Linked DNA regions of Callithrix jacchus. The protein of the gene in region 2 binds, or shares a complex with, the protein of the main gene of each other region. Links are inferred from orthologs where the notes say so. Each region holds a gene or a part of one and is shown on either strand. Other genes may lie near its edges.

The links. Proteins that work in one complex are often made in the same cells at the same time.
Region 1: the proteins of LATS1 (region 2) and WWC1 are in contact, whole or in part, in a crystal structure (PDB 6J68), measured with the Mus musculus proteins. The link is inferred for Callithrix jacchus from reciprocal best matches to the Homo sapiens genes LATS1 and WWC1. Residues at the interface, in NP_034820.1 of Mus musculus: Ala546, Glu547, Ala548, Pro549, Ser550, Tyr551, Gly553, Pro554, Pro555, Pro556, Pro557, Tyr558, Leu562, Leu563; in NP_740749.1 of Mus musculus: Asp17, Tyr23, Ile25, Asp26, His27, Arg30, Thr31, Thr32, Ser33, Trp34, Asp64, Val67, Tyr70, Ile72, Asp73, His74, Lys77, Thr78, Thr79, Gln80, Ile81.
Region 3: the proteins of LATS1 (region 2) and NF2 are in contact, whole or in part, in a crystal structure (PDB 7LWH), measured with the Homo sapiens proteins. The link is inferred for Callithrix jacchus from reciprocal best matches to the Homo sapiens genes LATS1 and NF2. Residues at the interface, in NP_004681.1 of Homo sapiens: Pro69, Lys70, Phe71, Gly72, His74, Ala77, Leu78, Glu80, Ile81, Arg82, Ser84, Leu85, Phe88, Ala89, Asn90; in NP_000259.1 of Homo sapiens: Pro135, Glu136, Ala137, Val139, Leu140, Tyr144, Asn175, Leu176, Tyr177, Gln178, Met179, Met183, Trp184, Arg187, Trp191, Glu206, Ile210, Asp213, Leu214, Glu215.

The regions. Positions count from the first base shown.
Region 1 is NC_133503.1:31,343,133-31,346,495, reverse strand, and holds the end of WWC1 (protein KIBRA), read right to left. Parts: intron 2,542-3,363; coding exon 2,417-2,541; intron 1,304-2,416; coding exon 1,237-1,303; 3' UTR 501-1,236; downstream 1-500. UniProt on the Homo sapiens protein: Regulator of the Hippo signaling pathway, also known as the Salvador-Warts-Hippo (SWH) pathway.
Region 2 is NC_133505.1:156,496,168-156,500,407, reverse strand, and holds the start of LATS1 (serine/threonine-protein kinase LATS1), read left to right. Parts: upstream 1-1,440; 5' UTR 1,441-1,671; exon of another isoform or gene 1,672-2,017; intron 2,018-4,240. UniProt on the Homo sapiens protein: Negative regulator of YAP1 in the Hippo signaling pathway that plays a pivotal role in organ size control and tumor suppression by restricting proliferation and promoting apoptosis.
Region 3 is NC_133502.1:200,266,626-200,270,125, reverse strand, and holds part of NF2 (merlin), read right to left. Parts: intron 1,550-3,500; coding exon 1,427-1,549; intron 434-1,426; coding exon 216-433; intron 1-215. UniProt on the Homo sapiens protein: Probable regulator of the Hippo/SWH (Sav/Wts/Hpo) signaling pathway, a signaling pathway that plays a pivotal role in tumor suppression by restricting proliferation and promoting apoptosis.

The sequences.
Region 1 (3,363 bases), on a different chromosome or scaffold from region 2:
GTGCAGCATGCTTTGCTGGGTGGTACAACAGGGTAATGTCAGAGAGGACGGAGGAAGAGATTTCTGGCTGTTGCTATTTGTTAGAGGCTGACTTCTGATGTTGATGCAATAGACCCTGCAAAGCTCTGAGCTGGGCAGGAACATGGGCCACATAAGCAGCATGAAACACATAAGCTCCAGGACCTACTATCCCTGGGTTGGGGACGACATGGAATGATGCTCATATGAAGAAACTGTGAAGTCATCTCTCATTGGGTGGGGTGAAATTCCATAGAATGAGACAGTGCAGACAGCATCCCCGATCTAACTTGGGGATGTGGATTCCTAACGAATTGAGCAGTCATTTAAACTTAGCAAATGAAAGGAGTGGGCAAAAGAAAACATAAATGTTTCCTAGACTGGGGATGGGTGGGAAAGAAATGACTGGAAAAGGGAGAGTCAAATATCAGGGAAACACAGACCAAGTGAGGGGTGGAGAAGAGAACAAGAGTGAGAGGAGATTCTTTTTGAAAGGCCACTTTATTGATGGAGATAAAACTGAATGGAGCTCCCCACAGCCCTCCCCTCACTCACGTTAGTGGCTTCACTGGGCATCTGAGACCAGGGTGGCCTGAAACCCACAGAGGCTGGGTTGCTTAGCCCCCCAGCCTATCACACCACCCGCTCCATGTCAGGCAGCCACATAAAAACACGTCACAGTTCATGAAGATTCGTGGATGCACCTCTGAATCCCCCCCACAATGGTTTCTGTGCATTTTTTTTTAATATTGTACAAAATATGTTAACTAGGAAAAGTTAGCTGTTCTGTGACAAGTCCTATTAGGATTACCGTCCCCCAGGCATTACTTCTTATTGCAGTAAGACCTCTAAAAGGTGGCGCTGTACAAACAAAAAAATCTAAAGGATTTTAAGAAGAGCAGCAACACAATACTGCTTTAGTTCATTTAAATTTTCTTTCCCAAAAATACACTCCTAAATATACAAACTATACAATCTTATCATTTTAATGCTGGTTTGGTTTTTTTTCTGTTTCTGTTTTTTTGTGTGTTTTGTTTTTGTTCTTGTTTTTAATAATAACAATAGGACCCAAACTGAAAAATCGGTTCAACTTCAAACCAACAAAAGCACTAGAGGACTTGTGACTCAGTACCTTCATATAACACCACATAAATAACTTTAGCCACAGTCAATGTTCACAGCCTGGTCAGTAGAACGAAGGAAACACTTTTCTGGCGGTTAGACGTCATCTGCAGAGAGGGCTGGAATATTCATCCGAGGCCGGGTGAAAAACGCCATCTTCTCCCTATAAGAGAGGCCATCCCTTTAGAGCAGGGGTTTTCAACCTCACTCTACAGAGATTCTGGGCAGGATAATTCTTTGTCGTGGGAGTTGTCCTGTACATCACTGCAGAATGTTTAGCGATGTCCTCAGCCTCTACCCTCTAGATGCTAGCCGTATCCTTGACCTCCAGTTATGACAACCCAAAATGTATGCTCATTGCCAAATGTCCCAGGGAGAAGGGGAGAAATCACCCCTGGTTAAGAACCACTGCTTTAAAGGAACATTAGCATGAACGATGACCCAGAGGCTTCTCAGCCTTTCAAAGGACCCTCGGGCCACTTCCAATGTTTGTTTTAGATTCTCAATTTGTTAAAAAGTTAAGAGATGCCCAAAGACAGTTGTACAAATTATTGTACATTTTAAATTTTTGTATTTCACAAAGGAGTTTTTTTTTTTTTAAAGCACATGCACAAATGTGTACCTGAGAGGACATCAGAAGTCTAAACGCTAGGCACTCTGTGAATGGGAGGCCCAGGCCAAATGGCACTCAGGGTCCTCCAAGGATACACTAGGGTCCAGCATGGCAAGAAAGCAACTTCCTGAGATCCTAGCAGGTGGCAGGCAGAGCCAGGGAGGCCCAGCGAGCAACCATCACCCCCAGGCTTATTTATCAACTTCCACAATTAGCAGTGATGAAAATACTACAAGGGGCTGGGCTCACGCTATAATCCTAGCACTTTGGGAGGCTGAGGTGGGTGGATCACCTGAGGTTAGGAGTTCAAGGCCAGCCTGGCTATCATGGTGAAACACATCTTTAAAAAAATAATAATAAAGAAAGAAATAGAAAAAGAAAAAAAACACTATGAGGGAAGGCTAGAGCAGGCGGCTCATTCATTAAACAAGAGGATCTAACAAATTAGCTCAGTTGTGTGGGGACGGATAAAGACAGCCAGGGGAAGGGCACTGCAGAGCTCATGGATCGCCAGGGATGGCTTGGCGGAGGATGAACATCAGTTACAGAGAAAGCCAGTGCTCTGTGAGCAAGGGATGGGAGCAGTGAGACCAGAGACAGAAGGCTAAGGCCAGTGGGTTGGCTGAGAAAGGGAGAAGGGGGCTGCCGGGGCCCTCTGCTTACCTGAAAGACTGCACTTCTGGGGGCTCCTTACAGCTCTGGCCTCGGAGCCTGTGCACATCCTTGGCAGCTGCCCTCATCATCTTGTCTGTCTGAAGCTCACCCTTGTGCTCTGCTCGGTCCATCTGCTGGGCAAAGCAAGCAAGGCCCTGAGTCAGTGGAGGGGGCCTCCAGAAAGGGGCAGCCAAGGAGAACTTGCTATCACAACTGAGGGAGCTACTGTAGGGAAGGCATTCTCACTCCTGCTGCACATGGGATCCACTTCATTCAGAATGAGAATGGGAAGTGCTCAAATCATCTGTTTGAGTGATTCGATTTTTGGGGGCCAGGGAACTGAATACCTGCGTGGATCTGAGGAAGTAAGGAAATGAAGGGTGCCTGGTGAAATGTGTGCTACCTCTAATCCTCAGGCCACCTAGGAAGGTAGATGCTATTTCCTCTATTTTATGCACAGAACTGAGGCTCCAGCATAGTAAGAAATTTCTATAGCCGGGAGCTGTGGGTGGCTCACCCCTGTAATCCAAGAACTTTGGGAGGCCGAGGTGGGCGGATCACAAGGTCAGGAGTTCAAGACCAGCCTGACCAACATGGTGAAACCTCATCTCTACTAAAAATACAAAAATTAGCCAGGCGTGGTGGGGCACGCCTGTAATCCCAGCTACTCAGGAGGCTGAGGCAGGAGAATCACTTGAACCCGGCAGGTGGAGGTTGCAGTGAGCTGAGATCATGCCGCTGCACGCCAGCCTGAGTGACAGAGTGAGACTCTATCTCAAAAAAAAAAAAAAAAAAAAAAAAGAAAAGAAAGAAAGACAGAAAGAAAAGAAATTTCTTTAATGTCAGACTACTAAGAGGTGGAAACCCAATCCAAGCCATGCAGTGGTTCTTAAGAGGCTTGGATATAACATTATGCCCCTTCCTCCTAATGTAAACCTATGCAAACACTTTTGAGA
Region 2 (4,240 bases):
AAGCTAATTATTTTCTACATAATTGGCCCAGCATGCTCTCTCCATTTTAATCCCATTGATTAGGAAAGATGTTTGAGACAAGATTTAACTCTCACTTAGGCCGGAGTGCAGTAGTGTGATCCCTGGTTCACTGCAGCCTTGACTTCCTGGGCCCAAGTGATTCTCCCACCTCGGTCTCCCAAGTATCTGGACTACAGACATGTACCACCAAGCCTGATTATTGTTTGCAATTTTTATTGAAATGGGGTTTCACTATATTGCCCAGGCTGGTCTTGAACTCCTGGACTCAAGCAATCTACTTGCCTTGGGGTCCCAAAGTGCTAAGCTGGAGTGCAGTGGTGCGGCTCACTGCAACCTCTACCTCCTTGATTCAAGAGATTCTCCTGCCTCAGCCTCCCGAGTAGCTGGGACTACAGGTGTGCACCACCATGCCCAACTAATTTTTGTATTTTTAGTAGAGACGGGGTTTCACTGTGTTGGCCATGCTGGTCTTGAACTCCTGACTTTGTGATCCGCCTGCCTGGCCTCCCAAAGTGCTGGGATTACAAGCGTGAGCCACCATGGCCAGCGGAACATAATCTTTTAACAGGTTTTCACATTTGGATTTCTGAATACAGTAAGCAGCCAGTTATTACTTTAACATCAGAAAAAGACGTCTGTAATTTTTTTGTAGTCTATAGTAGAAAAATTACGAAAGAAGTTACTTGAAAACACTATATTTTCTAGAGGAAAAACTGGCAAAGGCACTCTTCACAAAGGGTGGACAGTACCTTACACATCAAACCCAGTGATCCCATCCCAGATTTTCTATTCAACTTTACTAGAAGTAAAACCTCTTGTCTTGTCACACCGTCACCGTTATTCCAGTTAGGCAATAACGACCTCCTCCTACGGATGCAGTTGACAGGTCAGATCTCTAAACTCTGCTAATCGGTCCTGGCTCAAGAACTTCTTCTTGGCTGATTCAGAAAATACAGATGCTGGAACCTCATGGGCTTGTTCGGGGAAAGAACGCTAAGCAAGAATAAAATTTTATTTCAAAGCGCCAAAACTCGAATTTTGAGGTCCACAGCGAAGTTTCCCAGAACAACTCAACAGTTGTTCCCTTCGGAGAACGAAGCTCCGTGAAATGCGCATCCCTACTCGGTCCAGAGAAAGAGATCAATGGGAAAAAGGATTCAATCAACCGAGTGGGCTGGGCAGGAGAGAGCCTTAACCCACGGCCGCGGGCGAGTCTTCTGGGCAGGGCAGGCGGGAGCGACGTGGGGCGACGCTCACGAAGGCTCTGAGCGGCGGGCCACGCAACGAGGCCCAGAGGCCTCGGTTGCGCGCTCCCTAGCTGCTGCCGGGCGGGCAGAAGCCCCCAGTCTTCGGCCCCCGCGCAAGCGACGCCGGGAAATGCCCACATCCGGGAAACCTGCAACGGAGTGCGGCGGCGGCGACATTGAGTGGAAGGCAAAATGGCGGCGGCGGCAGTGGCCTGGTGTTAAGGGGAGAGCCAGGTCCTCGGGACCCCCGCGACGGGCCACAGTGGCCCGCGGCAGCCCTCCGGCGTCTCTACCCGCTCTGCCCCACCAGGGATACTTGGGGTTGCTGGGACGGGCTCCGGCCGTCTAGGCGCCCGCCCTCGGGCCGGTGGCCGCTGTCCAGGAGCTCTCCTTTCCCCTCCAGGTAGGTCCGGGGCTGGCGTAGCGGGTGGGGCTCACTTCTCCCGAGCTGGAGTTGGCGGGGCGGTGGCCGCTGGGGCCCACGCCCATCCCCGCTGGCGGGGGTCCAGAGGTTGCTGTGGACTGGCGGGCCGCGGCGGCCCGCTCCGGGCCTGACTGGGCTGGTTGCATTGACCTGAGCTGAGCCCTGCCCTGGGGAAGCGAGGGTTGGCCGCGCCCGGTGCTGCAGGAAGAGCCCCGGGCATTTCGGCCTCGGAAGTGCACGTTGGGCAGGGAAGAGCCTACCTTGCTGGCGGCCTTGCGCCGACTGTCTCCCACCCCACCCCCAAACGCGGGTCGGCGGTGTCCACAGGGAAGGAACGGGAAAGGTGGTTCTGAAGGAAATTTGCAGTGAAAGAGCTACAGTTTTTTGAATCCCAGAGGGCTCTGATCCTGGGTGTATCTTGAAGAAATCCTGGGAGTCTCTTATTTCTAGTTCAATGTGATAAAGGTTACTGTTCATAGTTGGAAATGGTGGGAGAGGTGGAGAGGTCTTTACGGAGTAGGGGTGTGTATATAAATACAGAAAATGAAGGAACGACAATTTAGGGAACAGCGTTTTTTATAACCTGAAAGGGCTTGTAGCTCAATGAATGACTTCCAGATGACTTAATCCCCATTCTGACTTCTCTGTCAATTTCTAATGGAACATAATTTAATGTTTGTCAACTCATATGTTAATACAACTTATAAAACATATATCATCCTCCAGAAGTTATTCATAAATCTTGTGAACAGTAAGTATAGTCTCCTGCACAGAAATAATACTGTATAACTCCAGTTTTGGAAATGAATTTGAATGTTAGTGATCATGAAGCTTGTCAGACCTTTACGAATTGTTTATTGAAGGTTAAAAATTTTTATCCATTTTCCTTCATGAGGAAGAAAAGGTAGGACATTATAGTTGGAATGAATGTTCTCTGCTACGAAAACAAAGCTTATCTCTGATGGTAAAATGGGGTAGTTGATTCCCTAAGGCAGTGGAAGAGTTTGAACAGTGAAAGAAGTAGCATTGTGTTAGTTCCATTGGCTGCTACTGCAAGAAACTAGATCATGGTCCATTCCTGGAACAGCACATTCTGTGCCTAAATATTGATTGAATATGACTTGTTGCTCTCCAAAAACAAGTAAAAAAAATTTTTTTGGCTGTATTTTAAATGTATAATATCTGGCTTTCATTGTGTAGGTCGTTTTTATTTTTGTTTTTATTGCTAGTCCTTGTTATGCTGTATACATAGTCTTGGAATGGTTCTAACTCTGGTTATTTATTCTAGATGTTTTATTTATATTAGTGGGAGATTGTTATACATCACAAAAGTTAGTCATTGAATAACATTTCCACCAAGTAGAAGCAGCAGTCCTTTTTCAGCATTTTTCACTTTTGATCCCACAATTATTAGAAAGTGAACAGAAGAAAATGTCAGTATCCAGTTTCCTGAATATCGCTGTTTATACGAATGAGACTATGCTGCTAAAAAAAGAAACAGCACATATTATTGTTGCTGTCCTTATTACTGATCTGGTCAAAGCTATGACATAGTCATCTTTTTTTTTTTTTAAATGGGGACTCGCTATGTTGCCTGTGCTGGATTCCAACTCCTGGGCTTGAACAGTCCTCCCACCACAGCCTCTCAAGTAGCTGGGACTACAGGCGCACTACTGCACCCAGCTAGGGTACCTTTCTGATAAACTTAATTCAACCCAATCTTATGTAATGGTACCTGTTTTTTTCCAAAGTTGGACAAACTAATGGATGATACTTGTTTGTCGTTTGTATTTTTGATGAGGGTCTGAACTTTAAAAAATAATAATAAGGCCAGGCGTGGTGGCTCAAGCCTGTAATCCCAGCACTTTGGGAGGCCGAGGCGGATGGATCATGAGGTCAAGAGATCGAGACCTTCCTGGTCAACATGATGAAACCTCATCTCTACTAAAAATACAAAAAAAATTAGCTGGGTATGGTGGCGCGTGCCTGTAATCCCAGCTACTCAGGAGGCTGAGGCAGGAGAATTGCCTGAACCCAGGAGGCGGAGGTTGCGGTGAGCCGAGATCGCACCATTGCACTTCAGCCTGGATAACAAGAGTGAAACTCCGTCTCAAAAAAAAAATAGAGATTTGTCATACCCAGGCAGTTTGATTCCAGAGCTCTTACTTTTAACGATTAGGTTAAAAATCATTGAAAGTTACGGAGTAGCTGGGCATGGTGGCTCACGCCTGTAATCCCAGCACTTTGGGAGGCCGAGGCAGGCAGATCACAAGGTCAGAAGATTGAGATCATCCTGGCCAATACAGTGAAACCCTGTCTTTAAAAAAAAAAAAAAAGATGGTGAAACATCTCTACTAAAAATACAAAAAAATAGCTGTGTATAATGGTGTGTGCCTGTAATCCCAGCTACTTGGGAGGCTGAGGCAGGAGAATTGCTTGAACCCAGGAGGTGAAGGTTGCAGTGAGCAGAGATCATGCCACTGCACTCCAAGCTGGGCCACAGAGCAAGACTCTGTCTCAAAAAAAGAGAAAATAATACAATTGAGGT
Region 3 (3,500 bases), on a different chromosome or scaffold from region 2:
CCTGGCAGGAGAACTGAGTTCCTATGCCCATCCGGTAGCGCCAGCCCCAAACTGGATGAAGCATCAGTCGCCATTGGCAAAGAAGTAGCCTCCCTCCAGTCCAGAAGATGGGGAAGCAGCTTGAGGATGGCTGCTATGGAGCTCAGCCTCAGGGCAGGCTGGACTGTGGCCCTTCACCAGCCTCCTCACCAGTCTGGTGCTCAGCGTCCCCTCACCTTCTCTCTGACTCCTCAGCCATCTTCAGGGCCAACACCTCGGCCTCTAGCACCTTCTGCTCCATCAGGCGCTTCTCCTCCTCCGTGCGAATGGCTGTGGCCTTGATGCGTTGCATTTCCTGCTCGGCCTCTGCAGCCTTCTGGGCCAGAAGTTTTGCCTCCTCCTCGGTGATCTGGGCCTTTTCAGCCAACAGGTCAGCCGTCTCCTCGGATCGCATCTGGAAGGCACGGGGCTCTTAGCTAAAGTGGGATCATGTGCTATTCTCCCGCCCAGATCTGCCTTAAAAACAGAAATAGAACAAACCAGAGTCTTGGACTCCTGGGGCCCTGCTGCTGAGTGCCCCCCATGACCCTCTGACAAGAGGTGACAAGCCACATTCTCCAGCTTTTCAGAAGGGCCCTTCGGGCTGCACCCATGGGGAACAAAAAGAGCACCTCCTCTGAGTACCCACTTCAGCTCAGGCTTATGTGTCACGCGGAGAAAAACAACTTAAACTCTGTTCTTTCCCTTTAAATCAGTGGTTCGAACCAGAGGAGCTTTTTGTTCCCTGCAAGAGACTTGTAGCAGGCTGGGCATGGTGGCTCATGCCTGTAATCCTAGCACTTTGGGAGGCCAAGGCGGGCAGATCACTTGAGGTCAGGAGTTCAAGACCAGGCTGGCTAACATGGTAACACCCCGTTTCTACTAAAAGCACAAAAAAATTAGCCGAGTGTGGTGGCACGCGCCTGTGATCCCAGCTACTTGGGAGGCTGAGGCAGGAGAATCAGTTGAACCTGGGAGGCGGAGGTTGCAGTGAGCTGAGATCGTACCATTATACTCCAGCCTGGGCAACAAGAGCAAAATATCATCTCAAAAAAAAAAAAAAAAGAGACGTGGCAATGTCTGAAGATGCTTTGATTGTTACAAACGGAAGGTGAGGTGCTGCTACTGGCATCTAGCTCACAACAAAGGATAGTCAGTCCCAAATATCAGTAGTGCCCAGGCTATAAAGGCAACCTCGTGGTGAAAGTGGAATTTGGCTGCACATGAGCTAACCTAAATCTGCTTCTGCCAACACAGGTGGAAAGAAAAGCCAGTAACTTTTTTAAAAGCTGAAATAAAGTATATCAAAGCAAATGCTGGTAACTCATGGTCCTCAGGAGACTGAGCTCCAGAAAAGCCCAGGAAGTCCCCAGGTAGCCTCCTGGAACCCCGGTCCCTCAGAAATCACCAGTGCTTCATTGGCCATTGTTGCTTCTTCTTTCAGCTGCAGCAGCCTCCTCTCCAACTCATCCCTCGTGCGTTCAGCCTCCTCCCTCATCTGCTTCTCTCGAGCGAGGCGCTGCCGCTCCATCTGCAGGGGGTGAAGAAAAACAGTCATCAAACCACAGGGCTCAAGACCTAGGTGCCATAAGGGACCAAAGATGCCCCATCTCCAGAATCTCCCCATTTCCTAAAGGAAAGGGAACTTTTTCTTCCCTTTCCTTTAGGAAGCCAGGGTCATTCTTATTGCCCTGTAACCTTGTCCTTCTAAACCAGTTGCAGAGTGGAAAGTTGTGCCCCTTGAAAAAAAATTCTAACAGTGAATGAACAAACGAACAAACAAAAAAACAAGCCAAGCCTTGACCTGGATAGAAAGAGGCATTCTTATACACGGTGCACTGAAATGGCTACCTTGCCAATGATGCTTCTTATTGGCGGCTCTGGCCGGTGGCTGATGGGATGCAATGCAGGATCTCCTCTCTAAGACAGAGCCCCAGAAATAAGCAGCTTTCTCATCTGGTTAGGCAAGCCAGCTCACCATTTCTAATCCACGTGGACCCCTCTCACATCTCTGATTTCATCAACAATAGCTCCACTCTTGCCTCTGACCCACAGAGAAGATGGAATCATTCTGCATGATGCATCAACAGTTCACACATTGTATTTCACAGTGGGGAGCTGCAACGGCCACAGCACAGACTTGCACAGCCTCACGCAGAGACAACTCCTGAGCCAGGCCTATGACAGGAGGAAGCCAGGCGGGGAACACAGCCCCCTGTCCTTAAGGCAACAGTACAAAGCCACCACCACCTCCCTTGCCTTCTGGATCACTGCATTAATTGGACCACATGCTGAGCTTAATAAGGGGAACAAGCACAAAACAGTGCCATTCCTCTGTGATCTCAGGGTACTAACTGAGTTCAAAAAGCAGAATCCAGAAGTGACCACTGCACTATTTTCTGCCTTAAATAATTAATGCACATTTAATTACTTCTTGCTTCAATCTTATCCCACACTCTGGTCTTATAAGGTTTCTAAAACTGCTTCTTCTAAATCCTAAGCCAAAAAAATTTTATTTTATACACACACACACACACACACACACACACACACACACCCCACATCGGAGCTTGAAAGGATAATGCAAAGAGAAGCAATAAAACAGTAAAAGTTCTCCAGTTTTCTTCTTGCAAGTCAATGAATAGCATGGCAAATTTGTTCTCTAATTTCCATCATATTACAATTTCCATAAGGTGGATTACTGCATCTCTATAATTCAAAAGAAGGAATGAAGGAAAGAAGGAAGGGAAGGAGAGAGAAAGGAAAGGAGGGAGGGAGGGAGGGAGAGAAGAAGGGAGGAAGGAAGGATGGAAGGAAAGGCTCAGGCAGGCAAGGCGGGCCCAGCGGCTCATGCCTATAATCCTAGCACTTTAAGGGGCCGAGGTGGGAGGAATGCTTGAGCCCAGGAGTTTTGAGATCAGCCTGGATAACACAGCAAGACCTGATCTCTACAAAACAATTAAAATTAACTAAGTGTGGTAGCATGCACTTGCAGTCCCAGACACTTGAGGGGCCAAGGCAGAAGGATTGCTCGAGCCCGGGAGTTAGAGGTTACAGTGAGCTATGATGGCATCACTGCATTCCAGCCTGGATGACAAAACTTCTATATTAAAAAAAAAAAGAAGCCCAGGTAATCTCCTTCAGTTCCTGGCACTGTACTTTCCCTGAGACCGCTAGCCCAATATAAAGAACCTCCTATTCACAAAAGCAGTTTACTGCTTATAAAGACTGTAAGGTGTAATATACGGACCTTCATCTGAGATGGAGAAGGTGTATCATTAGTTTCACCTGATGGATGAGACAACTGAGGTATGGAAGGTAAGTCACTGACTTAGTCACTTTCTAAATTTCAGATCTGGCTCCAAGGTCAGTGTCTGTCCACCTGATCTGCTGTTGCCCAGATGCCAGGTTTGTGGCTCTGCTGTGTTGTACGCAGCACCAATCTTCAGTTTCTGCTATTCTCTGCCAGGGCCCACAGGCTA